Arabidopsis thaliana: one gene and its partner. The protein of the gene in region 2 interacts with the protein of the main gene of each other region in a pairwise test. Each region holds a gene or a part of one and is shown on either strand. Other genes may lie near its edges.

The links.
Region 1: the proteins of SFP1 (region 2) and TPC1 interact in a protein complementation assay, tested with the Arabidopsis thaliana proteins (one large-scale study listed by BioGRID).

Annotation. Positions count from the first base shown.
Region 1 is NC_003075.7:1,574,115-1,590,404, reverse strand, and holds TPC1 (two-pore channel 1), read right to left. Parts: upstream 10,477-16,290; 5' UTR 10,153-10,476; coding exon 10,033-10,152; intron 9,705-10,032; coding exon 9,561-9,704; intron 9,465-9,560; coding exon 9,357-9,464; intron 9,047-9,356; coding exon 8,951-9,046; intron 8,836-8,950; coding exon 8,705-8,835; intron 8,513-8,704; coding exon 8,452-8,512; intron 8,355-8,451; coding exon 8,188-8,354; intron 8,096-8,187; coding exon 7,990-8,095; intron 7,884-7,989; coding exon 7,806-7,883; intron 7,653-7,805; coding exon 7,591-7,652; intron 7,445-7,590; coding exon 7,372-7,444; intron 7,254-7,371; coding exon 7,188-7,253; intron 7,096-7,187; coding exon 6,952-7,095; intron 6,876-6,951; coding exon 6,818-6,875; intron 6,549-6,817; coding exon 6,441-6,548; intron 6,354-6,440; coding exon 6,290-6,353; intron 6,215-6,289; coding exon 6,046-6,214; intron 5,808-6,045; coding exon 5,743-5,807; intron 5,588-5,742; coding exon 5,497-5,587; intron 5,323-5,496; and 9 more. Other genes in the region: AT4G03566 (ribonuclease H), read left to right, coding at 1,387-1,839; AT4G03565 (Cystatin/monellin superfamily protein), read right to left, coding at 2,671-2,874, 2,970-3,131, 3,233-3,658; GSL05 (glucan synthase-like 5), read right to left, coding at 11,210-12,658, 12,839-14,861, 15,022-16,290. UniProt on the Arabidopsis thaliana protein: Functions as a voltage-gated inward-rectifying Ca(2+) channel (VDCC) across the vacuole membrane. Is one of the essential components of the slow vacuolar (SV) channel.
Region 2 is NC_003076.8:9,642,926-9,659,181, reverse strand, and holds SFP1 (Major facilitator superfamily protein), read right to left. Parts: upstream 10,675-16,256; 5' UTR 10,225-10,674; coding exon 10,081-10,224; intron 9,939-10,080; coding exon 9,876-9,938; intron 8,732-9,875; coding exon 8,642-8,731; intron 8,510-8,641; coding exon 8,450-8,509; intron 8,310-8,449; coding exon 8,244-8,309; intron 8,159-8,243; coding exon 8,093-8,158; intron 7,925-8,092; coding exon 7,849-7,924; intron 7,702-7,848; coding exon 7,637-7,701; intron 7,538-7,636; coding exon 7,445-7,537; intron 7,304-7,444; coding exon 7,223-7,303; intron 7,131-7,222; coding exon 7,046-7,130; intron 6,679-7,045; coding exon 6,635-6,678; intron 6,260-6,634; coding exon 6,197-6,259; intron 6,113-6,196; coding exon 6,053-6,112; intron 5,963-6,052; coding exon 5,909-5,962; intron 5,801-5,908; coding exon 5,741-5,800; intron 5,640-5,740; coding exon 5,525-5,639; intron 5,146-5,524; coding exon 5,006-5,145; 3' UTR 4,756-5,005; downstream 1-4,755. Other genes in the region: SFP2 (Major facilitator superfamily protein), read right to left, coding at 87-152, 292-351, 505-594, 1,291-1,353, 1,908-2,207. UniProt on the Arabidopsis thaliana protein: Sugar transporter.

The DNA of each region.
Region 1 (16,290 bases), on a different chromosome or scaffold from region 2:
CCCAAAAGATCGCTCTTCACAGCAACCGCGCCGCTTGTTATTTGAAATTGCACGATTTCATTAAGGTTTCTTTTACTTAATTCTTCTTTAATGAAGGTTTCACTATTGTTAATATGGTTGATATGTTTACAAAACATCATAGCATCAATTATGCAATCTAGGAACGTTTCGTTCATCAAGTTATAATTAATTCACCTAACATCAAAAGCTGAGGAACCTTGATCTAACAATCCTAATCATACCATTTGAATCCTTGGAATATAACTGTGAAATTACTCAGATATGTAATTTGAAGTAAAAAAATCGGTTGATAATAAAAAGAAAAAGAAAATAACAATGACAACAAAAGAGTTGAATTGACCTCTTAGAATTACAATTTCTTATTATCCTTTTCTAAGGTGTATAACTGTCGATGCACGACATAAGAGAGAAAAAAAAAATGTAAATCCACATACTAGGAAAAAGTTAAAAGACTTTTAAGGGAGCAAGGACTTCTCAAAAAGACGTTTGAGTTGAAATTTTAAAGTAAGTGAACTATATTTTGCTACCCATTTATAAACAAAAGAAAACAATTTTAATTTAATTTTGAAACCACAAAAATCTGTTCGGGTTTACAATTTTAAACCAAACTGCACTAATATGCTAACAAAACCGTTTTGAACCAAAGAATGTTGTACAGGGCTGAGGAAGCCACCATGAAAAAAAAGAGCAAAACCTAAAATTAAAATACGCAAAGACTCTCAGATTCTGACTTTTTCTTTCAGCGCCTCCCTAAAACCTAATAATACAAATTTGATTTTTGTTGACTGCTAGCAAAAATCAATTAAAAACCAACCCAAAAACCTATACATTAGGATCAAAGTGATTCTTGATGACAAAAAAAGATCAAAGTGATTCTTGGTATATGTCTAAGTTTTGTGTTTTTGCAGGCAGTATACTTTTACATGATTACATGTAGAACATATATCTCCCTATATATCCCTCTCTGTAGATAAACTCTTATATAATTCACAATGTACATCTTTATTAGCCATTCTACTCTTTTTCTCTCGTTCCATTTGTCAATCCTGCACAACAAAACAAAACGGAAGGGGAACTACTGAGATTTGTAGGTCCCCAGCCTTGATTCACCAAGAACTCTTCGGCTACTTCTTTTCCACACTAACGGAATAACATCATTCATAACCAGATAACTATCTCTCCGTCAGCAGTTTTCAAGGACATTGATCGCCATGCTCTCTGTGCGAAAATGATAGGGAATCGATTAGTCATGTCTTGTTTCATTGTTGGCCGGCTCGAGAAGTTTGGGAGAGGGTTAACATCCCTTTGCCCACTCATGGTTTCACACCGTCTATTACTGATAACTTAGACTTTGTCTTTAACTTAATGAGTAACGATGGTTTATCTCTTTCTCTGAGAATGGCCAATCCATGGTTACTTTGGGGAATTTGGAAACATCGGAACACAACGGTATTGGCGGGAACACAAGGCGACTTAAATGCACTTATAGCTCATGCTTTTGAAGAATCTAAGGTGTGGAACAAGTTAAGGACGATGCCAACCCAGTCTGTAACTCGTCTTTCGCTGAATCCTAGATGTGCAGTTAGATGGACTAAGCCACCACTAGATACGCTTAAATGTAATATACATGTTTCTTGGCTTAATGATGTTCACATCTGTGGCGGAGCTTGGATTGTCAGGAATCATCATGGGGACGCTGCTTTTCATGCCCGAGAAATGTTTTTACCAGCGTCAAATCGTATTGCTGCGGAGTTGAGAGGGGTTTTATGGGTCTTACACAGTTTACGTGACCTACACTTAGATAACATTGAGATATGATCGGACTGTCTATGGAAGCCATTAGTGATCCCATAAATTGGCCAACGTATTTATCTTATCTTGATAGAATTCATCGGATTCTTCCGAATTTTGGTTCGCTCGTGTTTAAGGTTTCATCTACAAAAGCCAATATAATAGCACGAGATATAGCCACGAGCGTAACGAGAGAAGGTAGGAGCAGATCCTATTTGATTCAGACCGCAAAAAGAAAAAAACTAATTAAGATACAAAATTTAAAAGACTAATCGGATCGGAGTTGAGACCAATCTTGAATATTTTTAGGGATTTGGTCGGCAAAAGAAAAGATAAGCATTACCTTAGACGGGGACTAGTCAATGTTTAATTTACATGACCATGGGGTTAATAGTACAATTATTGTAGACCAGCTAAACAAATGGTTTTCTCCAAATTGATTCTTCTTCTGTCATATCACATATTTAGTTGTAATGATAAATGGGGAAGGTCATTTTCTAAGCACCCATTTTCTTATGAACTAAAATTTACATAACTCCCTAAACAGTTTGAAGTTATTCATAGTCTTTGGATGTCTCGATGCCCTTTAGCCTCCATTATAACAAACGGCACACCTCTAAACGCGCCGACTATTTACGATTTTACCAATAAGGCCATATAAGTGTACAATTATTTGTTTATAGATTTGGCACTCTCAAGTTTTGATAAATCTTAGATATGTCTAATAAACACTCTGAAAATACTATTTAATGTTTGGAGAAACATCCATTAGAATAAATCCAAAACAAGAAGCAAAAAACGACGATGTAATCATCAAATTATTTAGTTTTAAATCCAAAGATTAAAAGAAAACTTGAACTACAAATCTGGATCTAGCTTAGGACTAGGCCTGCAAAACATAGGATAAGTCTTACATTGTAATTTCTTCACAACCTTGGCTTGATACTCCACAAGCGTATCATCGTCCTCAGACTCTTTCGCCATAAAAGTAATATACGAAACCCACCTACCAGTGAAAGACCCTGTCACTCTTACAACATGATCCAATGTCACATTGGTTTCCTGAAAACACAACCAAAGGAAAAATAAAAACAAGTAATAACAAGGCCAATTCACACATCTTAAACAAACAAAACAATGTTAAAATCAGAAATTACCTTTAAGGCATTGTATTTGCGAAGACACAATTTGACCATGTCTTGTGCGTATTGAAGTTGTGTCCTTCCTTTAACCGGAGAATGTTCACTGTCCAATGGTTCAAGTAAGATTGCACCAATCCATACGGAACGTGGATGAATCCCTTTTTCCACCAGAAAACCCTAAACCTCAAAACAAAAACCCAACAAATTACATTATACACTAAATAACATTTGAATTAGGAAAAGACAAAACCTAAATTTCGAATCATGTATATACGAACACGACTAAAGTGGAGATTTCGACGATAAAGACGTCTTTTACGCTCATCTTCTTCGTCGGTATAACAGTCTTCATCAGGTGAACAGAAATCGCTATATAAATCATCGAAGTTATCCACTTCCCACTCTGGTTGATCGTTTGTTGAATATCCATCGTCCACTATACTATCTCCATTGTCTTCTCCCTCTCTTTCCGTATCGCCTTCTTCTCTGTCGCTTTCGTTATCATCATCGTCATCATCTTCCTCTTCGTTGCTTTCGCCATCATATTCGTCTCCTTCTTCTCCGTTGCTTTCGTAGTCTTCTCCTTCTTTTTCTCCGTCGGAGGAATAATCATCTTCTCTTGTGTCGGAGTCGGATATGTCCTTGTTCAGAGAGCAAGCGACGGTGGATTCATCAGTGGTTGTCTCTATCGGTGGAATTTCCATATTTGAGATTTGAGTAATTTTAAAAATATTTGGGTTGATTTTTTAGCTTTTTTTTTTTTTAAATGACTAGTGATTTGGTGAGATTTGTATCATCATGGGTGAGACTAGAGGAAAGTATAAAGAGTCATGAGAAATTTGGGGTATGTGTTTGATGATAAATTTCATGATTTTAGATGGAATTTGAAATTTTTTTACAAAAAAATCACATTAACTTTCCTAAAATCATTAAAACCATAGAAACCCCACTAAAACTCAAATCATTCAAAATGTAAGGTCCAATATATCTCTCTTAGCTATTCGAAATCTTATTGAAAGGCTGGAATGGTTATTTAATGTTTCCTTTTCGCGAAAAATACCAATTGAAAAGAAGGTTTCTTCAAACAACAATGAGTTGGGTCAACTATTCAGTCAAATGATATTGAGTGGACTATTTCTTTGCAAAATTGTGCTCAATTTCATATGTGGCAATTCCACCAAAATCTCTTCATTAGTTGGAAGACAAATTCGCACGAATCGGATGCTTTAGGAAAATATCGAAAGTCGTATCGTCAAATATTTAATATGATTCTACAATTTTAGTTTTGTTCAAGTAACCAATTATAGCCAATTGAGCGGATATTTTGATCAATTCATAGATCTTTTCGATTCAATTAGTAATGAGGATTCGGAATATCACTATCACACATTGATCAATTAAAGAGAGATTTCTATTTTGGCAAAAATCCTAATAAGGAAGCCTAATTCTCAAAACATTACTAGTGATAGGTACTCTTCCAATTTCATGTTCTTTTGGATTTTTTACTAATAAAAGTTACATTTTAAAAGGTCAAAGTAAAACTCAGTAAACATTACAAAAGTGTTAAAGAAATTGATGCTCATATAGTCATATAGTCATATGTTTTCATGACAAATTATAACACAATCGTCTTATATTAAATCTTCACCCAAAAGAAGAAAAAATTTAGTCACCTTCTAGATTCTATTGATCTCTCCATATAGAATCAAAGATTCACAGTATAAACGTATAAATAAGCTCTTAACGATCTTGTTTTGTTTTATGTGTCAGAAGTGGAACACTCTGGTTTGCTGAGTTCATCACCCAACATGTGATGAAGAAGTGTATCAACTCTCTGACTCCGAGACTTCGACCTTTAATAACCATAAAAACAAAATAAACCTTCAGATTTTGAGTCTAGTATGATATTACCAACCAACAATTTGACCTATCTACTTACCCTGCAGATCGACGCCTGTTTCTTTTTTCTTGAGAATCCTGCAACGATACAATAACGAGATGAAAACATTGCCGATTGAACACGAACCAAAAGGTTCTTTACTTTTCTAATCTCCCCAACATCTGTAACTTTATGGCGAATCAAAGACAATAACAAACCTGTCCTTGACATTTTTCTTCTTCTTCAAGATCCAGCTCAGTAAAGAACGCCTCCAAGACAAAGGCAACAACCTGAAACAAACACGCATTATAAGTCGATCTAAGAAGCAGAGTTAAGTTTCTTTACAACAATCATGGCCTCTGTTTGATCGAGCTCTTAGGAGTTGGCGTCAGTGAAACTCACCAAATTCAACAGAAGTAAAATAGTGATGACATAGAAACTGACGAAATATGTAATGCTCCACCACGTGCCCGTCAAATCTTTGTAGCTCTGAAAGAAATTAAGAGTAGTTAAAACCATTGCACCATAGTGATTGGCAAATAAGAAGCAAGCTGTTTATAGTACATCTAGCATTGGCCTCCTCAGCTCCAATGAATCTTGCGATACTTCTTGTTGGAAACTATAATGAGTCTAAAGTTGGGACTAACAGAAGAGTGAAATTACCTCCATCCATACTTGCCAGTTACCCATAACTAGCAGATTGAAGAGTGTGACCATTCCATTGGGGTAGTCATTGAAGTTGAACAAAAGGTAGCTGAGTTTTTCCCGTCAAGAAACGATCTTATACTGAAAACGTTTTTACCCCAGTAATAAAAAATTAAAAACACACTAGCAATCACAGGAACAGAGAAGGTGTACTAAGACTGTGTTGAGTGCATTAAAAGTTTTTCAGAAAGTTAAAAAGGATACTCATCCTCAGCCAATTCGGTTTCAAAGAGCTTTTTGTTCCCAGCATTCACAAGCCCTCCAAAGACCTACGGAGAAATGAGATGAAGAAATTTTTATATCTGATTTGGGAAATAGAACCCGTGAGAGAAGACAGGGAAAACACATGAGAGTAGCAGTTCAGCGGTTCCTAAAACATTCAGATGAACGGAAAGATGAAGAATTTCAAGAGGCTTAGAATAATCAAAAATGACGAGAATGACCATTGACCAAGGCTTCATCATAAGCTTGCATTTTTCAGACAAAAAACTCAGTAGTCTGATTTACCTGTACGCCAATAGAGCAGTAGATACACAGCACGCAGAAAATGGTCCCTAAATATGGCATCAAACTTGGAATAAGAGTTATGAACGTCGCAATAAATGCTCGGTATCGCTGGACGTTCATAAGAAGCCTTATCAGTCTTAACATTCTCGCCAGGAGAAGGTACCGGATCCTATCAATGAGAACCAGAGTCTGGGTTAGTACAAAAGAAGACCATTGTAACAAATATGTCATCGTTATTCCTCACCATTCTCCATTTGAGAAGAAAGTATTCTCGTCTGGAGTTATGAAGGTAGCTGTTTCCCCAATAACTGCAGATACAAAGATTATCACTTATAGCATAGCCATCAATCACTCAATCAGCAAAACAAGATGAAAATGCTGCTTCAATAGGTTACCTATGACCCATGTGACTAGAAAATCAAATCGGTTAGCACCCTCTCTCCAATAATTCTCAAATCCATATGTATAGATCTTCAGAGCCATCTCCAACACATATATCCAACCTGTAAAAACATTCAAAGATAGAAATTAAAAGAAGAAAAAGTTAAGACTCTGAAAAGGTGGTCAATAAAATTCGGCTGTTACAATCTAATATGATCCATAGAAGTACTCTACTCAGTGTAATAACACAGGAAATAGCTTAACTTCTATTTCATTCTTCATCTTTTCATCATATTTCTCAGTAACCATAGATTATACACTTCACAAAGCATCAAATAGAAGAAAAATACAAAATGGAGAGAAGATAGTGGAAACCTATTCAAGTTCTTACCAAAGACAAACTCGGCAACCTGCCATGGCTTCTGAGCCGAGCTTTCTTCGATATCAAGCTGCATACCAAAATCTGTTATGGCTTATGAAAGAATTAGGAATCGCATGTCAAAGAAATATGGGAACATGATATACCGTTGTTTCAACAACGACAGCAATGAAATTGATAATGAGGATGAAAGAAATAGCGTAGCCAAAGTTGGGGCTTCGAACAAAGGCTCTCAGTTGTTGTGATAAGGCGGAATGGTAAATTTGCGGAAAATGTTCAAAGAGAGACGGCTGCAATGAAAACAAAAAGGATCGCTAATGTAAACATATGGTGGAGGTAAGTAAATTTTGAGAGAAGGAAAATAAAGTATATGTGAACTTACTACTTCCTCCTTTTGGAATCTTAAAGCAATGGCCTGGCAGAGGTCAGCAAACTCATCCTTGTTTATCTGCTCAACAGGAAACAAAAAGGGGACAAAGAATCTGTTAGTCGTCAAGAGGTTTAGGTGAATAGTAATCTTAAGGTGTATCCTGATCATATGTGCCACATCCTTCACAGATCTCTACCTTAAAGTCACGAGTATCGTCAAGCTCATCAAATATCAATCCGAATTCTTCTTTTGATATCTTCGGCAACGTCCTATAAGGAAAAATGAATGCATATCATTATCAGGTCTCACAAGTTAACATACAAAAGGGAAGAAACCACAAACAAGTATATAAAAGATGTATTTCTTTTTCGAAACATAGGAAAGATTGAAAATACCAAAGATCATAGCAACAAACCTGTAATTAGTCAACTGTTCAAAGAGCTTAATGCATTGGTTCTTATCAATCTCCCCGTTTTTCTGTTAAAACATGAAATAAAGAACGAAGAAATATATGCTCAGCAAAGTGGTTAACTATACAAAGACTCTCCATTCATGAAGATCTTTGCCCAAGGAGAACTTCTCCGGATATCTCTAGGAGTAGATATAATCACTATGCGTAGATGAACTTACGTCTGAGTCTATAAGACCAAAGGCTTTCTCCAACATTCTTCTCTTCATTTGATCCATTCCAGATACTTGCTTTGCGAGCTGCAAACAGAATAGATATGATATGACACAAGGTGTCAAAAGAGGTTAATACTTTTGTTTTAAAAGCTGACATAAGAACCATACAAACATCAAATCCTTAATCCACCTGTTCTTTGAAACTGTCATAAACAACGGCAAGAATCAAGTTTGTGACAAAGTAGACGCCAATTAGCACGTAGAGCACGAAGAACACCGAAGACCAGCGAGAAGACCTTAGAGGACAGAACAAATAAGTCACTAAATTACTGGATGCAACGCCATACAAGCAAACTGAGACACAAATGGGATTTCACCTAATACTTACTTGTATGCAGGAATCCAGACATCAGGATTGTTGGATGTTGTGAACAAAATAAACATCTGGTAAAGAGTTGCACCATATGAAGTGAAGACCGTGAGGCCCTGCTGCGTGTCCTCAAACATAACAAAAGCAATCCAACTGGCAAATAGAAGGAACAGCATCCATAGAGCCTGTGAAAATATTCAAGGAGTTAAGTAAATAGGATGACAATCAATATGAGTTAATTACTTATCTGAAAGTCAAAAATGATTGGGGAAGGCCACTGACCAAGATATTCAAGTATGTGCCAAGCATTCCAGACAGAAGGACAAGGGTGTCCCGAAGTTCCCTGTACAGAAATGTAAAGAATCATAACTTTGGGGAATGTGCTGTATTTAGAGATTTAATAGGAGGAATAGTAGGTCAAATAATCACACGTCGACATTTATCATACATGACATGATCTGCGCATCTTTGTCTATAGAAATAAAGACATATAACCCATATAGTTGATAGAAAAGAAGCAGAGATCTACGGATACCTTATGCTGAGGATGAATATGATAACTCTCACGTATGGGGCGATTCTAAAAGGGAGAAAGTCGAAAGCCAGTGGAGACAGATACAGAAAGTCAACCAGCACATCAACAAACAAAATTACCACGCAAGCAACCTGGAATCAATATGAAGACAAATTGTTGCACGAAGAAAAGGAATTTCTTACTTTCTGATCGATTTTCAACAAAAAGAAGAAACACAAAACTGTGAAGTGGCTAGTAAGGAAATACCTTCACTAGATTCAGGCGACTAGTCCAAAAGATTCGGGAACCTTCATAGGATATCGGGAAGAAAGTATGTACAAGGAGTATAGCCAGGGTAATCACCTATTTGGACAGCAAAGAATATTATAATTTCAGCACAATGAGAAAAGGATCTTGGCCAGTCCTTATAATAAACATATCCAAAATAAGATGTGAGTGTTGATATTAAGTTCTTAACGACGAATTAAACGAGATAAACTAGTCTTGAATAAATACTCAAGGCTTCTCAAGATTTAAAGAAAACAAACATAAGGCAATTCAAGTCTTAAACTTTCAAGTGGATGTACATGTATATCATGAGCCCATCTGCACTAAATCTATGCATCTATAGCAAAAAAACAAAGGCAAACAAGACTTAAGTGTAATTACTTGCCTCATAGATAATGGATTCTGCATTGGTCAAGTACGGTAACTCTCCCAGGTAATAGTAATCTCTATCTTTGCAAGACGGTTTAGGGTTTTTTTCACACCACAATGGTTGCTGCAAAAGACAGGAAAAGTGTGTGATTACTTTCAAGTTGTGATTTTCTATAAATTTTTCAAGCAAGGTTGGTGTATACCAAAGAAATGTGCTGACCTCGAAGAAGTTAAGGAAAAGCAGAGCGAAATAGTTGAGTGACCAGATCAGATCCAAACGTGTGAAGATGAAGTAATACCTAGCAGACTCCCCGAAACTCGACTGATCAAGTATTTCCACAGGAAGACCAATACCATCTTCAGCCTACATACCACAAATCAGAGTCAATCCAACAATCCTCTTGACATAAGACTTTAGAGACAATGAAACAACAGATATCTCCATTCCCAATTTTCAAACAATGCTAATTTCGTGAGGATATACACACAAAAGCATTGACTAATCCTTATACGAAGAAATCACTCAGAAGAAGAAACGATTCATCTTCTCAGCTTAACAAAAACACTGACTTAATGAACTGATAAAATACATAGAATCTCTCTTGGAGGCGATGTGATCCATGTATAGAAACTTTTTGAAAAGTCAAAGAGGAAAACGAATTCAAAATTAGGGTGTAAGAGAATAAGAGAACCAGATCAACGAGTGCAGCTGCTTTCTGAAACGGAGTACCATGCGTGATAGCTTCTGATCGACGAACCCGATCCGTACCACCACCACCAAGACTATCTCTACCAATCAACGGGTCTTCCATTTTTTTTTTCTCTCTCCGATGAGAAGAAAATTACTGGATCGAATTGAAAGCAAATGTCGAGGAGAGACCTAGTAGCTTTCTCTGAGTGATTTGACTGTAGTTTGATAAGATCAAAAGGAAGACGAACAAGATTGATGATGATGGCCCAGAAGTAGTTGAATTTATTATTAACAATTTCTCGATTTTAAAAGTTTCCCGTTAGATCAGTCGCCGTTTTGTTAATAAAAGGATTAGATCTTGCAGACAAACACGTTGGTCCCTCGTCGATTTCTTGCCACGTGGCTTTAATTGCTCAATTCTGTTTTTTTTTATTCCCCAATTCACACTGATTGTTTCCCAATTTGTAATAGAAAAGGGAGCAAGAAGTTCAGGAGCATCCAAGTAGAAAAGTCAAAACCGACAAAGTGGTGTTGTGGTCCAATTATATAAATTTATTTCAATTTTGGACCCAGAAATTGACAAGCAGAAACCGATAATAGACGAGAGTAGTGGAATATGGACAAGTATCTAATCTGAAACTGATCTCTACTAAGAAGGAGAAGAAAAGATGTGAAATGTGAACAAAAGCTCTGCGAGATGACATTAGATAACAATCTGAATATAAACTAAAAATGCTCTAAAGCTCTATAATGAGAGAAGGAGAACAAATACACAAAGCCTCACTACACAAATTGCTGTACCTTTAGAACAAAAACCATACAAGAATCAGAGTTCCCTCCACACACACTGACAATCAAATATCTCCCTAAACCCATCTAACCGAATCAAACCAACTTCCCGATTCCTCATCCAACCAAACTCTCCAAAAACCTGTTTAAAATACAAAGATAAATCATCAGCATCTGAGTTTTTCTTTAGACGAAACAAAACTTCGAATTCGGTTGTTTCGGGAAAACTAACCTCCAACTGATTCCTTCGCCACATACCAATAGGATTTGAACTACCATTTACTTCTTAAGACCTACACAAATTTAAAGCCCGCATTGGTGTGAAATCCAGGATTTAAACGATCATAACATAAGGTGTTGAGAACAAGGAGCTTTACCGTTTTTTAAACTTAGACATCGCCTTTTGATTTCTTCCCAGTGACAATCTGCATGATGCGAAGTCCTCTGCTAAAAGCTTCATTGAATAATATCCTCGTTTGCATTGACTGGAATCCAGGCATCCATGACAAGAACGCTACTGGAACCATTATGAGTATCCCAAACAATATGTCATACATGCGAGCAACAGAGACAACAGCATTCCAGAAAATAGTGTAATTCTTCAGCCACTTCCTTTGAGTCTGTGCGATCAGCAGAATTCCCCAGCCAGTTGGGATGAATGCAAGAAGGCTTGTGAAGATATCGATGAAGCTGAAATGCGTGAACTCGAGCAAAGCAACAATCACCAGTATAGCAAGCACGATCAGGAGGAATTGGACAAGCCTGTACCGTATGTGAGCTTTTGCCGAGTACTTGTCACGGGCGTATTGGATGACTAGGAAGAGCACAAATATAGCAAAGATGTATATCCATGAGAACAAGTAGACAAAAAGGCTGGTGGATCCGTTTGCAATTTTAAGCTGGTATACAATCCCATACTGGAAGAAGAAAAACCGGAGGACCAAGATGATCTCCACAAATAATCCTGCCTTCCCGGTGTTTCTCAGGTGGTCCTGTTCCTCGTACCACCATTTTTCCCAGCTTTGTTCAGATTTCGTTGAGATTCTGCCTTGGTACCAGATCCAGTTCATGAAGTCTTCAAAGTCATAGACTGTCTTAAGCCAGTCGAATCCTGATGGGTTAAACACAAATGGGGCCATTATCCATGAAATCACAAGAAACCAGCTGGTGATAGTCATGGCTATGTAAATCAACGAGTCTTTGGCAATCGGACTGTGCGAAGCGTAGACTATGAGGATCAGCCCAAGCTCGATGGCCTTCACAAAGTGACTGCGTGCATACAGTCGGTAGTTCTCAGTGAATCCCTTGTGCTCGACAACAAATCCACGTCCAGTGGCTCTATACTTGGCCCCACCATGGAGAATAGTTCGACCGAAATAGTGAGCTCTGGTCCCCATTGAGAATGTGTAGAAGACAGCTGAAAGCTGAATCTGCATTCGAATGAAATTCCATATCGCTAGAAGGAAACCCTCCTCGAGAGACCATTCAACAATCATTGGCAGGGCAGTGAACAGACCGAGCTGAATGATGAACTGCTGGTTCAGGATCACCCCAAGCGCGGCGTTGGTGTCCGTACTGTCTGCTAGAGCGGACTTCTCAACCCCGCTGAGAGCCAGATAAACCCGTCCCCAGAGGAAAGCGTAAACAGTAAGAATGACCATCATTGTGTTGAAGAAAAACCCTACAGTTGTGTAGAAAAATGATAACATTCTGAAGAAATCAAGCCTGTGCCCGAGCCGGTACACATCTCGGCTGAGAACCTGCTCTCCGTTCCCACTGGCTACCTTAGCCTCAAACATTGATATCTGATTCAATCCAACATCCCGTCCCTTCCCGACCTGAAAAATGCATAAAGACAAAGGTTACTCAAATTTTTTGAATTTAGAAGATTAAAAAACGTTAAATTACATAATTATAACAAAAGTAGATTGCATAATTAATAAACGTTAAAAACGTTAAAAAAACGTTGTAGCAGTATAGTTAGTTAGAAATAATCCAAATTGTGGACCCTTCCCAACCTGAATGTACTCGTGGTGGGTGACGTTTCCCCCCCTTAACGTGCAGTTAAACCCGGCAAAGATGTCCTCACTGATATTTATAACTCTGGAAGCCTTACTGATGCCGCCTCGACTCAAGAACCAGAATCTGTCAAATACATCAGGGTGGCCATAATGCATTCTGACCTTCAGTGGGTTTGCAAGAACACGCTGACCAAGAGTGACAAAACTTGTCTCCTGAGCAGACATGAACCACGCCAGTGACGAGACTGATCCCGTGAAGATATGCTCCCTGACACCAAGAATAGTTGGTTTTCTGATACCATGATAATGGTTGTACTCCTGGAGCAAATTTCTCATCTTGAGAGCTTCCTCAAAATAACTGTCTTGGTTCATATCAATGGTCTGAACAGCATCACCACGGGTAAAGATCATTGCATGATTCTGGTTCTCTGGCTTTCCCTCGCCCAGCTTCACTGGACCAGGTAGCTTCACACGGAATATTTCCACTTCCTTCTCCAACTGGTGATCGTATTTCACCAGAACGGAGTAATAATCAGTCTCTCCTCTTCCCGCAGGCACCTCATCCACATATGCAATACGGAGAGCTTCGTTCTGCTTCATCAGATACAGAATTTCCTCTGCCTGAGGCTCTTTCTTTGCTTTTTGAGACCCGTAGATCTGACACGCCACAACATATGTGAATTTCATCAATGCAGTCCCATACTCATGGCCTTTATACAGCGTACTCACGGAACTACTTGCTCTGCTTAAGGAAGATCGGTCGTTTTCAGAGACAAACCCATCAGATTGACCACCCAGTTCTCCCTGCAAATTCCTCACTGAACCAAGCTCCTGAGCACCCTCCCGAATGTCCATTTCAGACGCAGAGTCAAGAAAAGCGAGCATCTTAAGAGCCCGGTAGTAGTACATCATCCCACGAACTGTACGTGCCAATGTCTGACCTCTGTAGGAAGCCCAAAGCCTGAGGTCTCTCAGCTTGGTTGTCCACAACTCACTATCTGTCTTGATTCCTTCCCTATGCATCCGTTCCTTGAAATTTTTCCATTCATCAGCATAAATTGTCTGCAGGTAGTATAGGGTGGAAATCCCATCCTCAGTCTCATTTCGGAGCTGTTCTTTGCTGTATACAACTTCCTCACTGTAATATGGAGTCAGAACACTGAACGCCATCATTTTCTCAACCTGAGGGGCATGAGGCATGTTCATGAAAAGCGAATTACTGAAGAAAGCAATCCGCCGTCTCGCCTCTAGATTCACAGGGACGCTGTGCATAGAGTCCCTAGAGGTGAGAATCGTGTGTAAACGCCTAACCTGCCGGTAGAAGTCTTCATTGCTTGCATCAGGAAGCCTAATAGCATTTTGAAACAGCAACTTTGAGGCTGGGTCTCGAGGAGTTAAACCTTCATTAGATAGCTGTTCAGTTGTCTTCTTCTCTATAAAGAACTGTCGAGTTGCAATCTCATAAAGAGACTGCAGAACATTCACCACCCGCCCACTATCTGTTTCCTCATCATTTACCAGCCCAACCAATTTCTGCAGTGTTTCATAAATTTTTGGCAGCAGGTCCACTCTAAAGGTCTTGGTGAACTGCTCTGACTGAATGGACTGATTAATTATCTGAAAGAAGACCGTAATTATCGAATGTTCTTCAGTGTCAACTTTGATGATTGAGAGCAATAGATGTTTGATGCTGTCATATGCCTCAACTACAGCACAACGCCTGTATTCATTCTTGCATATTTTGTGCCACAGCCATTTATCAGGTGCGTCTATCAGCTCTCTGGCCTGGCTCAGTGCAAGCAAAAGCTCATTGCACAACAAGAAACACGGCCAGCGAATAACCGTCACATCCCAGGAATTCTTTGGCAGCTCCAGTAGCTCTACTTCACGATCAGAAACTATATCCTCTTCTCTGAAAGCTAAGATGATTTCGTTCCAGATCAACGCAAACTTGTTGGCCTCGACCTGATTCGACTCAAGTTTCTTAAACGGCCTCCCAAATCCATACCTTAGCTTCAATCTGCATACAGTACACAACCTCAAGTTATTACAATATTGAAAAATTTAATTATATGCAGCATCTGCGTTAACAAAAGTAAAATTTCACAGCTTGTACAGTCAAGTCAAGCGTTGTACAGAAAATTATTTAGGAATATTAGTAGCATGCTTCCACGGACTACCTATGAATGCCGTCCTTGAACTTGTTACCAAAGCCTCTAGCATTCAGGAGTTGTTCCTCAGGCATTAGGTTGAATTGAATAGCACTAGCAAAGAATTGAAACCTTAGCCTCAGCTGTCCCATGTCCCTGATCTCCCCCAGATGATCAAACAGCCCAACAACAGCACCAACAATCGAAGAATAGATTGCGTACCAAATTTGGATATCCATCAGATATATCAACACAACTGGCAACCATAACAATGCGACAGAAAACCTATTGCTGTCTCCATAAAACTGATGCCACTCATAATCGACATCCTTTAAGTTCCATAGCAGCTTTGAGGGTTTAATCATTGGCTTAACCTGCAGGAAGTAACTAAATGTAAACTTTGTAGCTAGGACAAAGATCCAGAAAGTCGAGTACTTGATGTTGTCCACTAAACCCTCTCTCAAACCTCGACCCACAAAGCTTTTGCCTTGAAACCACCAAGTTAGAGCAAAGAATATTTTCCAATTGGTCTCTTCCAGGAAGTTTCTCATCCATGGGATAATAAACAAAGCCAAAGCCAGGATTTCGGGCACCAAGAAGGCCCCCACAGCGTAAAGGAATTGGTATATCTTAGTCGTCGCGGCATTGGACCACTGCCTGTCTTGCCTCTTCTGCTTCCAGATGTTAGTGTAGAGGACAGTGAAAGCTACAATCCAAACTGCGGCAGCTATAACCTTCATCAGCATTCTGAAAAAATGCCTTTTGGTCTCTCTGGAAACGAGGGGATATTGTGAAGCCGCGTCCAGCACAGCCTGCAAGAGTCGCATACCACTCCATGTCAAGAACACGGTCAATAGTCTCACCTGAACATCTCTTGCCTTCAGAGCATTCCACAGCTGCCTTGTTACCGACGAGGTATCTGGCTTTTCCTCCCAAGCTACTATAATGGCGGCTTGAAGGAACAAAGCTAGCATCACCCAAAGTCGATCAAAACTCCTGTAAAGGTAGAAGAACGTCCTGCGCTCCACGAAACCAGTTTTCCCTACACTTTTGCCTCTACTCTTAAAGAAATTGCTTCCCAAATCAAGCGGCCATTTCAATTTGCTGAAACACCGATCAGTCCAGAAGTACTCATTGATATCGTCGTAGTTCCTCCACTTACAATGCGCAACTGTACCGTTCTTGCTCTCATCAATCTCAGCTTGGATAGTATCGTAAATAGGTTTAACGACGCCGGTTAAGAAAGCGTTTTCGCCTGAGAGAGAAGGCAAGTAAGGTTGGCCGGTGTTCTCATCGAGG
Region 2 (16,256 bases):
TATTTTAAAATAACTTTATATATAGATGATATAAGTAAATAAAAACAAGGTAATTAAGGCTATATTAAATATATTAGGTTAATTACCACATAGCTAATTAAGCCGAGTCCTATCCCTGAGGAGATTCTTCCGAAGTTCAACCACATCACATCCTTTTGTGTTCCAAACATAATATAAATGATTAACTAATTCTTGGGTTTCATGATAAACAGTTTGTTAATCTTCTAAGTACTAACAGTACAAATAATAAGTTTGCGGTCCCAAGTTTGTGGTAAGGAATATTTCACATACCTTAGCGAAAGCGATGGAGAACCAACCAATGATACAGAGGAGATCGGACACCCACATTGTCTTTAATTCGTGAAAAGCAATATTGTCATTAGTAGCAAACAGATACGAAAATATACAAAAACATATATACGAAAAATTTTAGTCAGAAAAGGTAAAATTTGATTATCAAACCATACTTAAGAATATGAAAGAGTGAAAATGTAATTAAAGTACTTTTCTTCTGCCAAGGATGATCGCCATTTTACCGCTAAACAAAGCTCCAATTGCAGCTCCCAAAGTGGATAATGAAGCAAATGCTGAAAACTGTTAAAAAAATATTAACTCAAAGACAAACTGCAGAAGTTGAGTTTAATATTTTTTTTTTATTGCGATATTAATTTCTAAAAAAAAAAAACTTATATATAGTTTGTCATCTATCTATTGAATGGTATTTTACAACTATATGATTGAATGTTATTTTACAATTCTGTTTTCGGTGTATTTCATTTTGTGTATCTTTAATAAATATAGAACTATAACATTTTTCGTAAGGTTACTATTTATGATAAGAAGTTCGAAAAAGGAGTAAAAATGGAGGTGACCCCCACAAGCCTACAAGCCAACCAAGTGCAGCTTCATTGGGATAACGACAGCATATATTTCTCTTCATAAGAAATTATTAATTATTACAATCTGACAAAGAATAATATGGAATTTAAATAGATGTGAAATTTTAATACTGATCTAATAGGACTATACATAAATTCATGTCTATTTGGACAGCTCTGATCACCTCCCTTAAGTACACTGATCATCTCCCTTAAGACACTGATCAATGTCACAATGTGTCTTTTCGCCATCTACCAGACTACCACTATTATTTTCTTTTATTTACATTACGGTTAATAACTTAATATAAACAACTTGTGACTTGATTAATTTAATAAATGTTGATGGAAAAGAACAAAAGATAGACATACTTGGGCGATTTGCACAAGAAAAAAAAAGAAGAAGACATACTTGCGCGATAGAAAGATCCAAGTCCTTCATAATTCCTATCTCTGCACCTGAAGTATAACCAAGCTGCCAAACAAAAAAAAAAAACAAAAAAAAAACGTTTTAATTTGTTTTTACTTGTTAAACCTTGAGCTACCCTGAATAAATTACTTGTTTCTTAGTGTGTAATATAAATGCAGTGGCTTATTTAATAGTAGTCGTCATTGGTTCCTTAAATTAGGTTAGGAAGACAATCTTTACATCCACTTTTTCGCCGGAATTTTTCAGGCATCGCCGGAAATTTTCCTATATGGCTTAAACCATAGTTGTAGGAGTTGTAAAAATCTCAAGATATAAGAGTTTTCTACTCCGGTCTCGGGTTTAATACTCTCTAGAAATATAGTGAATCTAAATCTGCCCTTTCTTGGTTTTTAAAGTTTTTTTTTATGTTAAACCCATAGCATGGGGTTGTAATTTTTTCTTCTTTTAAAGGTAAAAGATATGTGGTTGTAATTATCCTTGTAAAGTTTTTTCGTTCCCAATTAATACAATAAGTTGACAACAGAAAGAAAGAAAAAAATTCTTTTTACTATATCAAGAAAAAACTAAGCAAAGAAGAATGATGAGGATAAGAAACTCACAGAGACACCAAAGGAGAAAGAACCACACACAGCGATGAAAGTACTAAGGATAACACAAGCAGTAATACGACATTCTGAATCGTCGTTTTGGTTCTTGAGCTGCAAAAGCCTTTCTTCTATGCTTCTTTCTTTCTCCACCACCATCATTTTATGCATGCATGTAATGATACAACACAATTTCTGGTAAATAAAACAGTGAGTGCTCGAGAAAGAGACAGAGGTAGCGAGACAGAGGAGAGTGTGAGAGAGAGAGAATGCTCTGTTTGTCACAATGTGCTTCTTATTAAAGGAGGGACACATGTTTTCTTTAATGGTTTTATGTTATGTCACAGTTTGACAAAAAACAAAAAGTTATGTCACAATGGTAATTCCATTCCATTGAAAAATATATTATTGGAATGCTTAGTGATTGTTAACTCTTAATACTTGATTTTTACTTCAATTGGGGGGGGGGGGGAATATATCTAAGGGATTGGATTGTACTTAACTGTATGTGAGATTTTTTTATTAATTTTTATGTTTTATTAAGGAAATTATGGGTCAGATTATTATCCAGTTAAATTTTATTGGTTTAAGAAATTAAAGTTTTGCACCAAAAGAAAGAAAAGAAATTAAAGTACAGCTATTTTAAATATTATTCCATTTTATCACATGTTATAGATAATCTTTTGCTGCATTTTATTCGATTTTTATTTTTCTAACCTTAAATCTAAATTTTATTTTATGTTCTCTAACTATTTGTATCTTAAAAAAACAAAACTATGCGTTGATTTGTTTCTATGTTAACAGATGTTTTTAAGTTTTATTAAAAATAAATAGTGTATTTTTTTTAATCTCCCTTTTTTTTTTCAAACTAAATTGTCTTATAAAAAAATTTGTTTCACCTTGAAATCAATACAAAAGGTGGTATATTATACATCAGAACAAAAATAAATCAACTTCGAGTTGGTCAAATGGTTAAATCCATGGATTACTGAAAACGTAGAGATTTTGGAGATCACGGGTTCGATACATGTAGGAAAGAGTTTACTCTCTAGAAAATAGTTACATCTCCTAGTCATAAAAATGAAGATTAATTTGAAAGTCACTTGTGCTTAGGATGAAAAAAAAAACCTTAAAAAGCCTATGATTAGAAAATGAAAAATATCATTTTATGATCGAAAACCCGATAAATTGCTCCTTATACACAACAAAGGACTAAGGACCAAGCACTTATCATACATTTCACGCAGTCAATGTATTTTATGTAATCAATCCCTTTTCTACTATACATGGAGTCAGGAGTTCATACCTACTTACTAATGCAATGTACTTACCGTGTAAATATATTGTACATTTGATATGGTTTTATTGAATCGCATAACTTCGGTTCCATATGAATTTTCTACTTTCGATTCCATCTGAGAACCGGTTAGATAATCATGTAACAGCAACCTTCCGTTCTACTATACATTAAGGTCATTTACACACAAATGCAACACCTAACTATCATTCACACAATAATTAATCGGTTTACTTGGTTTTGATCAGCTAAAAATGATTACTTTAGAAACAAACTATAGCTTTTGAATGCCAAAAACAAAAAAATATATACCTTTTGAGAAAAACGGTTGTTTACATAGAATCAACCAAACTTACATGGGTTTCAATTATTATGTTTTGTACTAATTAATCTTAACTCAATCAAATTGCATTCACGTGTTTGTCAAATTGTCTTTTTTTTTTGTGCAAAACATAATTGATTTCATTCAATCAAACCCAAAAGAGGAGAAACAAAGGATACAAGTACTTGAAGCACATTCTTACAATAAAGATAAGATAGCTAGGATAAGTTAAAAGCATTGAGGATAGACCCATAAAAATTTTATGATAAAATCTCAGAGACAGAAGCTAGCTAGCAACATGCCACAAGCGAGTTCTTGGTGTGTCAAAGAGACTTCCACGAACAATTCAGGTATTTTAGAACTAGTCACTATCAAAAGATTTTGTGACGATTACTAAAGGTACTTAGTCTCACTATTCGCCGGCACAAACGACAAATGGAACCAGAGCCAAGGTTCTTTCCATGACGGGGAAGCTTGGATGGCGAGGACCCTTGAAGTCAGGTAAGAATGAAATTCTAGATCGGAAGCTAGCTGGATGTGTGTCGGGGAACAGTTAGCTATGGTTCGAAAAAGCTTAAGCAAAAACAGGGAAATCACAACTCCTAGTTTTGGCCGCTAGATTGAAGTGGTGTCAAGATGCTTCAGTGGATAGTCGATGAAGATAACGTCCGGCAGAGATGTGTCTAAATTGACACTCCGGGATAAGCTCAGTATATTCACGGATAGAGATAATAGATGCGGTAGTGATAAAACCTTCAAAGACAAAAATTCATAGATGGTTTTCCAATCTAAGGTTTCATATTCTTCAGCCAGAGGAGATATTAACCACAGGGTTTGTGAGACAGATTTTCGTTTCAAAAACATGCAACACCATAGACAGATTGTCGCTTCAGGGCATGAGTAAAGTCCTTGGTCAAAACAATATATTACTAGTGATGAATCGAACCTAAATATGTTTGTTTTTGAAATATCTATGTGGTTCCAATGCATAATCTAATTAATATTAGCCATCAACTTACAAACGTCAGAAATTTGTCGAATCAACTTACCAGCACGCATGATGCATGGTGGTCCACAAATGTTATCCAATGTTAAATCAAATTTATGAGATATCACGTTTTCGAAATATATAGTTTTCTAAATATACTAGCTACTTCATATTAAACAGCAATATTAGGACTTAACAGTTTAGATTAATTAATCGCATGTTTATTGTTCATCATTAATTACCCTAGTTACCCAATACTAGAAATCAATCTCTTCTTTAATATATGTCCGAAAAATATTACATTTGCAATTTTAGAGATAAAATACACATGTACGTAGGCCAAGTTTTACATCTCGTAAATATACATCATAAAAATGGGGCTAATTACCCAGAAAAATAAAGTAGTAATTACATAATGAAAAAAAAAAATCCTTGTTTGTAAATAAACAAATATAACACCATAAACTGAATTTGATCATTTTTATAATAAAATAAAATAATTCAAATTAAGTTTGATTTCTTTCATCGGGCTGATGAATAAGTGAAACTTGTATTTCTTCGAGTGATAATCCTTTCGTTTCTGGAACGAGCAACCATATAAAAAGCAACGCTGCTCCACCGATACCCGCGAATATGAAAAACGTTCCTATTACATTAATTAAACTATATAAGAAAATTATAAATTAAATGCAATTATAATATATATATATATATATATAGACATTAGGAGAAAATAAAATAAATACAAACTATATAACATATTCACTCAACCAAAAATTTAACTAATTAGTCTTTTAAAATAAAATAAACAAATAGTTGTGTTATAAAATGTATATGAGGTTTCATTGAAATGCTATAAACACAGACTTTGAAAACTATATAAGTTTTCTAGACTTAATCATTGATTATTTCTATGCGATATACAAAAAAAAAGGATAAGTTATAACTTTTTTTGTTGATCACAAGATAATTTATATAACCAAAATTGTATAAAATGGATATTAAGAAAAAGAAAAACATAATACCTTGAGTGCTCCATTCGAACAGAAAGTTGAAAGCGTAAGTGACGATTGAACTACTTGAAAATGAGACTAACGTAACTATACTTCCTGCAGTTACTTTTATATTTATTGGAAATATCTGCACACACCAAAAATCATACATATATTACTTTATTTTTCAAGACATATTACTTACTTCCTGCATAGAAATAAAATTAACAGTGAAGTAAATTTATGTACCTCCGACATAATTACCCAAGGTAGACCTCCCAAGCCTATTGCATAAGTTGCAATATACATCTGCCGATTTAAAAAATATCAATTTTAACTATATTTTATATGTAAAAGAAACATCAACGTAAATATTTTCATCAAAAAGATTGTGTACAAGGAGATATAATGTCTTACCATTACGCATATAAACGATAATATTGGAGTTAGTTCCGAAAGCAATTGCATTTTCTGCTCATGCAAAAACATTGTTAAACAAATAAGTTATTGGTTTAAAAACAGAATAAATAAAAATAGTAATTATCTTACAAAAAAAATAACCTGTAATGTGAAGGCGACCCCAAGTAGCATGCAAGTCATGCTCATCCCAAACGCTGAAGTCTATGTCAAAATAGTAATCAAATCAATATAGACTAATAGATTTGAATCTGCGAACAGCCAGAAATTATTTAAAGACATGCTCACCATCAGGAGAGGACGTCTGCCCCATTTATCGACAAGAATGAGGCCAATCATGGCTTTTGGAATCTGCGAATAGCCAGATATTATACCATTCAATGCTTTCACGAGTTAAAAGAAAAAAAACTAGTACATGAAAATTCTTAGTTCAAAGAGTTCATTAAAGTACGAAATTTTAACAAAATAAAAAATGTCGTTTTTTCAACTGTGATAAAATGTCGATTAAAACGCCAACATCACACAAGTTTTGTTTTTTTTTGAATATTTGGAAGTTGAAACCCAAAAATTCTATATCTCCTAGAAACGCGACCTATACCAGGTTAAATAACATCACACAAGTTTAGTTGCTCAATAACAACAGATTTCAGAGACGTAGTTTCATTTCTTAAATTTTGCATCCATATAGTCAAACAAAATTTGAGAAAAACATTTATATATACTTACCACGAAGATACCTAGCATCGTCGTTCCAATGGCCACCGAAAAACCTGTTTCCATCCAGAACAATTATTGAGCAAAAAAAAATGGAAAGAGGAACTCATGGTAAATATTTACTAAAACCCTTTCTCTTAAAGTATTTAGAATGAGCTAATGGCATCATTTTACAAAATAAATACACAATTTAATTTTATTTTGAGAAATCTTAGGAGTTCAGGACCTTTGCCCATAATCTATTGATTGGTAGAATAAAATATGTTTTGTTAGAAAAAAAAACATTCTCAGAGAAACTGAAACTTCTATGCAAATCTTCACTTGCAGATTTGAACAGATTGTCATATAATATATATATAGTTATTATTATTTCTGACATTTTAATATAAAATTAAACATTAATAAAAATAAATGAATGCTTACCAGCTTTTCTAAAAATGGTACTTGCATAAGAGATTACAGCAGCACTTCCTGAGAATTGTTGTATCAACATTAGCCCGATTCCTACCTGAGATATTAATTAAAAATGAATGCTTGTGCAGATAAATTAAATATGAAAATTTGATACTCTAGAAATTAGTTTGATGTACTTGTACGTACCACGAGGGTGTATCTATACTTTCTCTGGAACAAATCTGAAAAACTCGACTTTGAATCATTTTCCACCATTTTGGTCATTACCTGAAAACAACACAGAATTATTCAGACTTTACATTTTTTTATTTGTGAAGGAATGAAAATATAATTTCAAAGAAAAAGGGAATGTATATTTATTGAAAATTATATAAATTATAACTGATAATAGTATATAGTAAAACTCACTTGAATTTCTGAGGCTTCACGTGAAATATCAGCATCTCTTCCTCTAAGCCGAAACAGTGAATTTTCTAGTTCTTTATCGGAGCCAACTTTGGCCTTCAAAATGAAAATAGTTTGGTTTAAATTTTTTTCTTCTCATGGTTGATAATAATTAATAAATTACGTAAAACACTAAAGAAAAATTAAATGACCAACCAGCCATCTTGGAGACTCTGGCACGAAGAATAAACCGATTACTTGAATGAAGCATGGTAAAGCACCTAAACCAAAAACGTATTACATTTTTATCAGTTGATTTGCTATAATATAACAGCTGAAGATTTCCAGTTTTTTTCTACTATACATTTAACATATTCTTACGTCTCAAAACAATTTTTTCACGATGAATATGGAATTTATAGTCTTACCTAATAAAGCCAACGTCCTCCAAGTGATGAAATTCCCACAGAAATAAATCATGGCGAGTCCAGCGTTTTGAAGAAGCTAATAATCAATAATTACACAAGAATGAAACAAGGATCAATATACTCACGAGAAATTTTGAAAAGTTTTAATTTGGATTTTGGTTGGTTTGTCTTAGACTAGTTTGTGCTATTTTTTTTTTTTGTCAGCACTCATTCTTATAAATATTCTAAAAACCTAAAGTATTACCTGGTTTGAAAACGTAAATGTACCACGAACATGTTTTGGCGTAATTTCTGCTATGTAGACAGGTACCTGCTTGGTAAATAAGCAAAAATTACAGATCAGAAAACAAACTTACAAAGATGATATTAAATAATAATAATAATAAGTTAATTACCACATAGCTCGTCAAGCCGAAACCTATCCCTGAAATGATTCTTCCGAAGTTCAGCAACACTACTTCCTATTGTATTCCAAAACATAACATAAATTTAATTATTGGGTTTATAATAACCATAAATTAATTGGTTTGTTTATTTTCTAAGAAATAATGTTTGAATGAAAAAAAAAACATGTTTATGAATAGAAAATAACTAGTAGTACCTTAGCAAAAGCGATGGAGAGCCAACCAGTGATGCATAGGAAATCGGAGACCCACATTGTCTATTATATCATAAATAGCAAAAATATTATTATAAGCATCATATATACGAAAATTATAGTCACGAAAGAACCAAAAAAATAGAAGAATGGTAAAATTACGAATATGAAAGGTGAAATGGTTAAATTAATTACCCCTCTTCTGCCAATGACCATTGCCAGATTACCGCAGAACAGTGCACCAATTGCAGCTCCTAAAGTGGCGAATGAGCCAAAAGCTGAAAACTGAGAAAAAAATGATTTATAACAAATATAGTTTTCATATATATAGTATTATTATTATTATTTTTAATATATATATATATATATATATATATATAATATTTCAATATTTCAAATTTCTATTATTGTAGATGAGAGAATTGGCCGGAGAATGGTTCTGGAACGATGGAAACGTTGATAGCTAGATAATGTTTTTATAAGATGATTTTGACAACCGCTCAATATATCAGGATATATGTGCATATATATAGTTTTGGTAGGGTTATTATTATGATAAATAATGTTTTTTTTTGGATGATTTCGACAATTCCATATATATCAGGATAATATATATATATAGTTTTGGTAGGGTTATGATAAGAGTTTAAAAAATGGGTAAAAAAGGAGGTGAACCACACCAACAAAGAAGTATAATCAACTCAATGGGATAACGACAATCTATATGTTTCTTCTTTAGAATTGATGGTTGTTTGTTTCAATTTGAATGAATAAAGAAACAAATATTTACGGATTTAAAAATGATGTGAAGCTTGTATTTTGATAAAAATTGAACGATAATTAACCTAGCTATTTTTTGCATATGTCAATATGTCACTCGCTCTCAGTTGCTTAATTATACACAAAACTTTGTTTGTTTGTTTAAGGATGATAGTATAAAAGAATTAACTTTGAATGGATGTGGTTTTTAAACTAGTTTTTGGTTTTAGTTTTTTCTAAAATCTATTTTGTAACCATTCAAAATTTTGAAAAAACAAGTTTTCTTAAAAAAATAGGGAATCTAGTTTTTGAGTGTTTTAACAACTTTTCAAAGAAAATCAAAATCTATGTTTTGAGAGTTTCTCTATAAAAAAACCATCGATCACATTTTTTATTTTATTTTTAGATTTTTTTTGTAAAATAAAATATAATCCATTAACATAAAAACCAAAATCTAAACAAATTACCATTCAAGTTTTTAAGAAACTAAAATCTACACCAAAAACAAAAACCAAGAAAATCAAAAACTAAAAACCAAAATCCAAAAACCATTTTAAAAACTACAAACATTCATGGCCTTAGTCTTTTTTTTTTGATAAAATTTGCTACTTGGTTAATTTTCAATACATGTTTTTAGAAATAGAAGAAAAACCGTAAAAGAGAGACATACTTGCGCGATAGAAAGATCCAAGTCCTTCATAACTCCTGTCTCAGCACCTGAAGTGTAACCAGTCTGTATAAAAACAACAAAAACTATAAGAAAATAGGTATAACGTAATTATGAAGTATGTTTTCTTTTCATACAATTTTGTTGTTTTCATTTGTTCTTCTATAGAAGAAGAAAAAATCAAAGTAAGGTAAAGTAGAAAACTCACAGCAACACCAAAAGAGAAGGAGCCACAAACGGCGACAAAAGTGCTAAGGATAACACAAGCAGTAATACGACACTCTGAATCGTCGTTTTTGTTCTTGAGCTGCAAAAGCCCTTCTTCTATGCTTCTTCCTTCCTCCATCACCATCCCTTACACTTGCATGTACTAATATGACGAAACTTATGGTAAAGAAACAGTGAGAGCTAGAGAGAAAATGCTCTGTTTTTAGCAAAAAACCAAGAGAGCTAGAGAAAGAAGAGAAAGAGAGCGAATGATGTGTTTGTCAATTTAGACTACGTATAAAAAGAGGCTGGGAATTAAAAATGGTTATTTTGGTTTTCTACTCTTTAGGGGTTTTGGATTGGAAAAGCTAACGTGTGGACGTGAGACGTTTTTTTAAACAAGATCAAGTCAAATTTCATTAAACCAAGTTTTGTTGTTTTAAATTATAAAAATACAGCTAAGTATTAGTATATGATCATTCATCATCTGGATTCTAAAATAGTTTGACGTATACAAAATGCTAAACACTTTGAAAAAATATCCTTTAACCAGCAAATGGTGAAGACTTCTAATTAAGGGTTGGATTGGAAAGCTAACGTGGACGCGTAAGACCTTTTTTGTAAGACTTTGGGTTTTATTGGTAACCAAAAGCTGTACAAAATTTTTATTTGTTAGCTTTATCGGAATAGTACAAAGCTGTTAAAAGGAACTGTATAAAAAAAGCTGAGAGTAAAACACTTTTTGTAACGTTTTTGATAAAAAAATTGTGATTGGTAACTGTCAAAACGGTACAAAACTGTATTGTTATTAAAATGGTTACCATTCAAACCCTTTATATCATTTTAAGTCAAATTTCATTCAACTAAGTTTTCTTCTTGAAAAAATAAATACAAGTACTATTTAAATTATTATTATATGATCATTTGTCATGAGCGTATTCTTAAATAGTTTGACGAATTAAAAATACTGTAGTATGAAAAAAATATTGACATATTCTTTAAAATACCAAAGTTTTTTTTATAACAAATTATAAACAACGATTAATCGTCTATAGCGAATGATCCTAGTTATATGTCAATGTGGAGAAAGCTCTTTTCACATATAATTGGAAGCAATAATCTGAGTCAGGACATATACGTTACCTTGGATCAACAAAAATCGACAGTTACTCTTTTTTTCTCTCTGAAAGATTATTCTCAACTTGTAAAAGTGACGTCTTCTCTTGTTGATTGGTCCCTTATCTCAACGTATCTAGATGGATTCACGATAAGTATTATTTTGAATTCCATGCAATTTAAATTATATTAATGTGTATATATTGCTGGTTTGGATTATGGAATATTTTAACTTAAATTCATATCTTTGAGTAAAAAAAATATCTCTCCAAGACTATAACATTATAAGTTTGAATGGTAACACAATACAGCTTTGTACAGTATTGATAGTTATCAATCACAAAAACTTTATCAAAAACGTTACAAAAAGTTTTCTTCTTAGATTTTTTGTACAGTTTTTTTATACAGCTCTTTTAACAGTTTTGCACTATTTCGATAAAGTTAACAGCTAAAAAACTTGTACAACTTTTGGTTATCAATCAGATCCTATATTCGGGTGTTTTAAGAAGTTTTCACTCGTAACCAAAAGAAAATTGGATGACGATGGAACTCCATATTTGATGTAGAAAAAACAATCATTTATAGTCATTCATAATCATTGGATGAAAACCGTACGTTTCAACCTTTTTGTTTCTTTTTTTACATTAACTTGTTTAAATACCTCACAAGTTATTAGAACCTTTTAGTCATTCTTTGATTGAGTTTGCTAATACTTTTAATTAAATGTTTAATTAATCATAATTTAACGTTTTTGTCCTCCGTTGTTATTATTCTTACGTGAGGATCTATATTTGTACCTGTTACCATCTAGAAATGGAACCAAGTATTTAATTTTATTCATCAGTCTGCTGCTGAATTTTAAATATTAGGAGATTATAAAAAAAGAAAGGTCAACTAAAGAATTCGTAACGCGTACGGATCAACTATAATATCAATAAATGCTATTTTTGACAAATTATCAAATCTACAAATATTTTTAAACGCTTAATGACATATCTGTCCAAATAAACCATACAGAAGGAGAAATGATTAATGGAACTATATAACTAACGATAGTACTAATTTAAGTGTTGTCTAAAATTTTGTATAAACAACTTTAATCTAAAATCGGATAGACAGAAACATGTTAGAATTCAACATGTTATCTGACAATTAATCCATATGTAATTGTACATACAAATAGTCGTTTGGAATTTGAAACTACTAACTACATCAATTAATCATCGAAACGAAGTACATAGATAAGACCCTTGGAACATTAGATAGAGAACCAACTTACTTGCCTTAAATTCTCCTGAATCTACGATCTAATCCATTATATCCCCAATAATTGTCCAAACTACCTATTTATGGTTTGACTTTTGGTGCCTCTTTGGAAATTGACAATTTGTTTATGCAGTTGAACAAATCTAATTTGGACAAGCAAGCTAGCTTGCGTGGATAGGGAATCATGAATTTTGTTAGGATTAACATATGCATGCCATACCATCATTCATGATTTCTTATGTTGTGCTGCAAATTCAATTCTTCGGTGTAGAAATTATTTAAAGTTTTAATGTAAAACAATTTTTTTGTAAAATAAATAATCTGTCACATTTGTTTGGAAAATTTGTTTGGAAAATCTATTAGTTAAGTTTTGGCTCAATTGATTTATCTAATAATCATAAATACATGTAGTCTGATTAACCCTGTTATTAGTTAGAAAACATTTAAAATTTAGGACATATAATGTGGTGGTCTTTCGAAAAAACGTTCTCTCTGAACTATTTCAGTGTGCTTTTATTGAAACTCACCGGATCAGTCGATAGAATTAAAAAAAAAAAAAAATAGTCTACAAACACGACCCAGTTCAATTCAGAAAATAGTCCGTCTACAACCTATCTATATGACATTGTGATGTGTACTGCCGACAAAACAAAGTTGAATTAAGACACTCCTTTCATGTTTTACTTGTGAGCTTTTCACCAGACTAGAGTTCTACTTGTCTCATGTTTTAAAAAATTAAGAAGATATCAATTTAAAAATAATATGATTGCCATTTTGGATTTCTAAATCAATTAAAATATTGTGTCTAAATTTGTTAAAAGGATAATTTTATGGCGAATATTTGGATATTATTAGTTTTGTTGACTAACGATTTAACTAGTAGTAAAAACAGAAAATAAAAGATTAGATTCATGTTAATACAAATGAATCGGTACGCTAAATTACCTATTAGAAAGCTAAGATATTTTAGCAGAAAGGAAAACGATATTCCCTCTGTTATTAAATGATTGATTATATAGAGAAAAAAAATTGTTTCTAAAAGATTGATTTTTTAAGTTTTCTTTGTAATATTTATTGGTTAGTATTGGTGAATTGTAATTTTCAAGAAAAATAGTTAATTATCATTGGTTTAGAGTTATAGAAAACTGTAATACACAAAAAGTAATATATTTATAACCAATATTTAATATGTTTTTTAATATGTGTGTTTAAAAAAAAAATCAAGTTTAAAGAACAAAGGAAATATGAGATAATTAATTAAATTTTTTGTTTTTTTATTTGAAAATAAAATATTAAATTTATAGTATACATATAAATAAATCACCATGACAAAATGGTAGATGCGTGTAATTAAGTGAGTCACGTAAATTAAGAGGGCTAGCACTCCCGGCCCCGGGCACTCTCCGACCCACGTTTTGGTCCCCACGTTAATCATCAAAACACATTTTGTTTTGGTATCAATTAATCATTTAAGTTTCCCCACAATAGAAATCATTTTGGTGCATTCTCTATGCAAATTTATGGATCGAAATCGAAGTTAAAATTAAGACTGTTTAATGGGGAAAAGAAAAGAAGTTTTAAGACTAGCTAGTTACTACTAACTAGGGAAGTTTTTAACTATCATATGATTTTTTGTTGCGGAAGTGGATAAATATGACCCACTAAAAATCAAAACTTATTAGTCAACTAGTAACCGCTAGATAGTTCTAATGTTTACACTATCACTGACCTTCAGATTCATTGAATCTAGACAGGAGAAAGATCCAGCGTAAATTATTGGCAAAAGCGATGAGAAATATCAAAAATGACATTGATTCACACGAATTTAATTATAAACAAATCAATGGATTTGATGTTCTTCCATTTAAGACGATAATTACGGCTAAACCTGTAGTGTTTTTTTTATTCAAGTAATTTTGTAGTGATTTATCAAAACTTAAATTATTGTTGTATAATAATAGTTAAAATTTAGGTTCCGAATAGAGACAAAATCTAAATCGTAAATCGCACAATACGGTCCGGTTCATTATCATGTGAATCACACCGTACTTTATTCGTAGTTGAACGACGCATTTTTATTCGGAACGATAAGACTTTAGTGTTTGATTAGAGTAATACTGTATACCAACATTATATTATGGGCTGTCTGCCTCTGTCACCCTGAAATATATCAGTTCAACTACATTCCCCCCATACTTTCACTCTCTACCTATTTCCCCCTATACAAACTATATTCTTCATAATTCCACCCAATCTTACACAATTCCACCCAATTCACCAAAATCAATTAATCTCTCTGAATGCGTTTTAAAATTAATAATTGCGTTTTAACTTTGATAATCTGCTATTAAACCATTGACCCAACCAAAATCTCATAACCCAAAACAAACCTTCTGTTTGGTAAGGAAGGTTCGATTTATACCTTAAACCAAAAGGGGGAAAATTCTGAATTAGGTTTTCTATTTCTTCTTATGCCCAAAAAAAATAAAAAATAAAAATCTATTCTATTTCTTCTTCTTCTCCATCGACACTCTCTCCTTCTTCTTCTTCTACTTCTTCTTCTTCATCTTCTTCTTAATTAGTTTCTCCGGCGTTAATTGGAGTGGTTGGTCGTTGGATCATCATCTCTGGAGAATCTAAAGCGTGAATCTGAAGCGTGGTTGGGTTGAAATCACACATTACCCACACAAAGATGTCGTAAGTTATGTTATTTCTATGTAATAACATGTTCTCATAGTTGGATCTGTTTGAATTTTTCAGAAATTGTTTGTTTAAATTTGTTAATTGTGTGAGAGAGCAATAGATGTCTGACGATGATGGTGTAATTTTGTACAATTGTAGTGACGATGATGATGTGGAGTACAATAGGGGCTATGAATCAGAGAATGCGGGTGAGAGTGAAGAGCAGATTATAGAAATTGTGAGAAGGAAGAATAAGAAGAAGAAGAAAAAGGATGAAGAAGATCCTATTGAGCGTTTTGACTTTGAAGTAGATGATGGGGTAGCCAATTTCGAAGATGAGATACAAATAGGCCGAGATATAATTCCAGATAGTTCAGATGAGGACGAGGATCCGATTGTGTTGAGGGATAGAAGAATCAGAAGGGTGATGGGTGATAAATTTGTGATTGGAAGTACTTTTTTCACAAGTATTGAGTTCAAAGAAGCTATTTTAGAGGTGACATTGAAACATGGGCATAATGTGGTTCAAGATAGATGGGAGAAGGAGAAGATTTCATTCAAGTGCGGTATGGGTGGCAAATGTAATTGGAGGGTGTATTGTGCTTATGATTCAGACAAGCAAATGTTTGTGATCAAGACATCATGTACGCATCATAGTTGCTCACCTAATGGGAAATGTGAGATCTTAAAGAGTCCGGTAATTGCTAGGTTGTTCTTGGACAAGCTGAGGATAGATGAAAAGTTTATGCCTATGGATATTCAGCTATATATCAAAGAGCGTTGGAAATTGGTGTCTACAATCCCACAATGCCAAAGAGGAAGACTTCTTGCTCTGAAAATGCTTAAGAAGGAGTATGAGGAACAATTTGCTCATATTCGAGGATATGTTGAAGAGATTCATTCTCAAAACCCAAATTCTGTTGCCTTCATTGATACATATCCAAATGAGAAGGGTGAAGATGTGTTCAATAGGTTTTATGTATGCTTTAACATACTAAAAATACAATGGGCTGGTTCTTGTAGACCTGTTATAGGGCTAGATGGTACATTCTTGAAAGTTGCTGTGAAAGGAGTTCTATTGACTGCAGTTGGTCACGATGCAAACAATCAAAT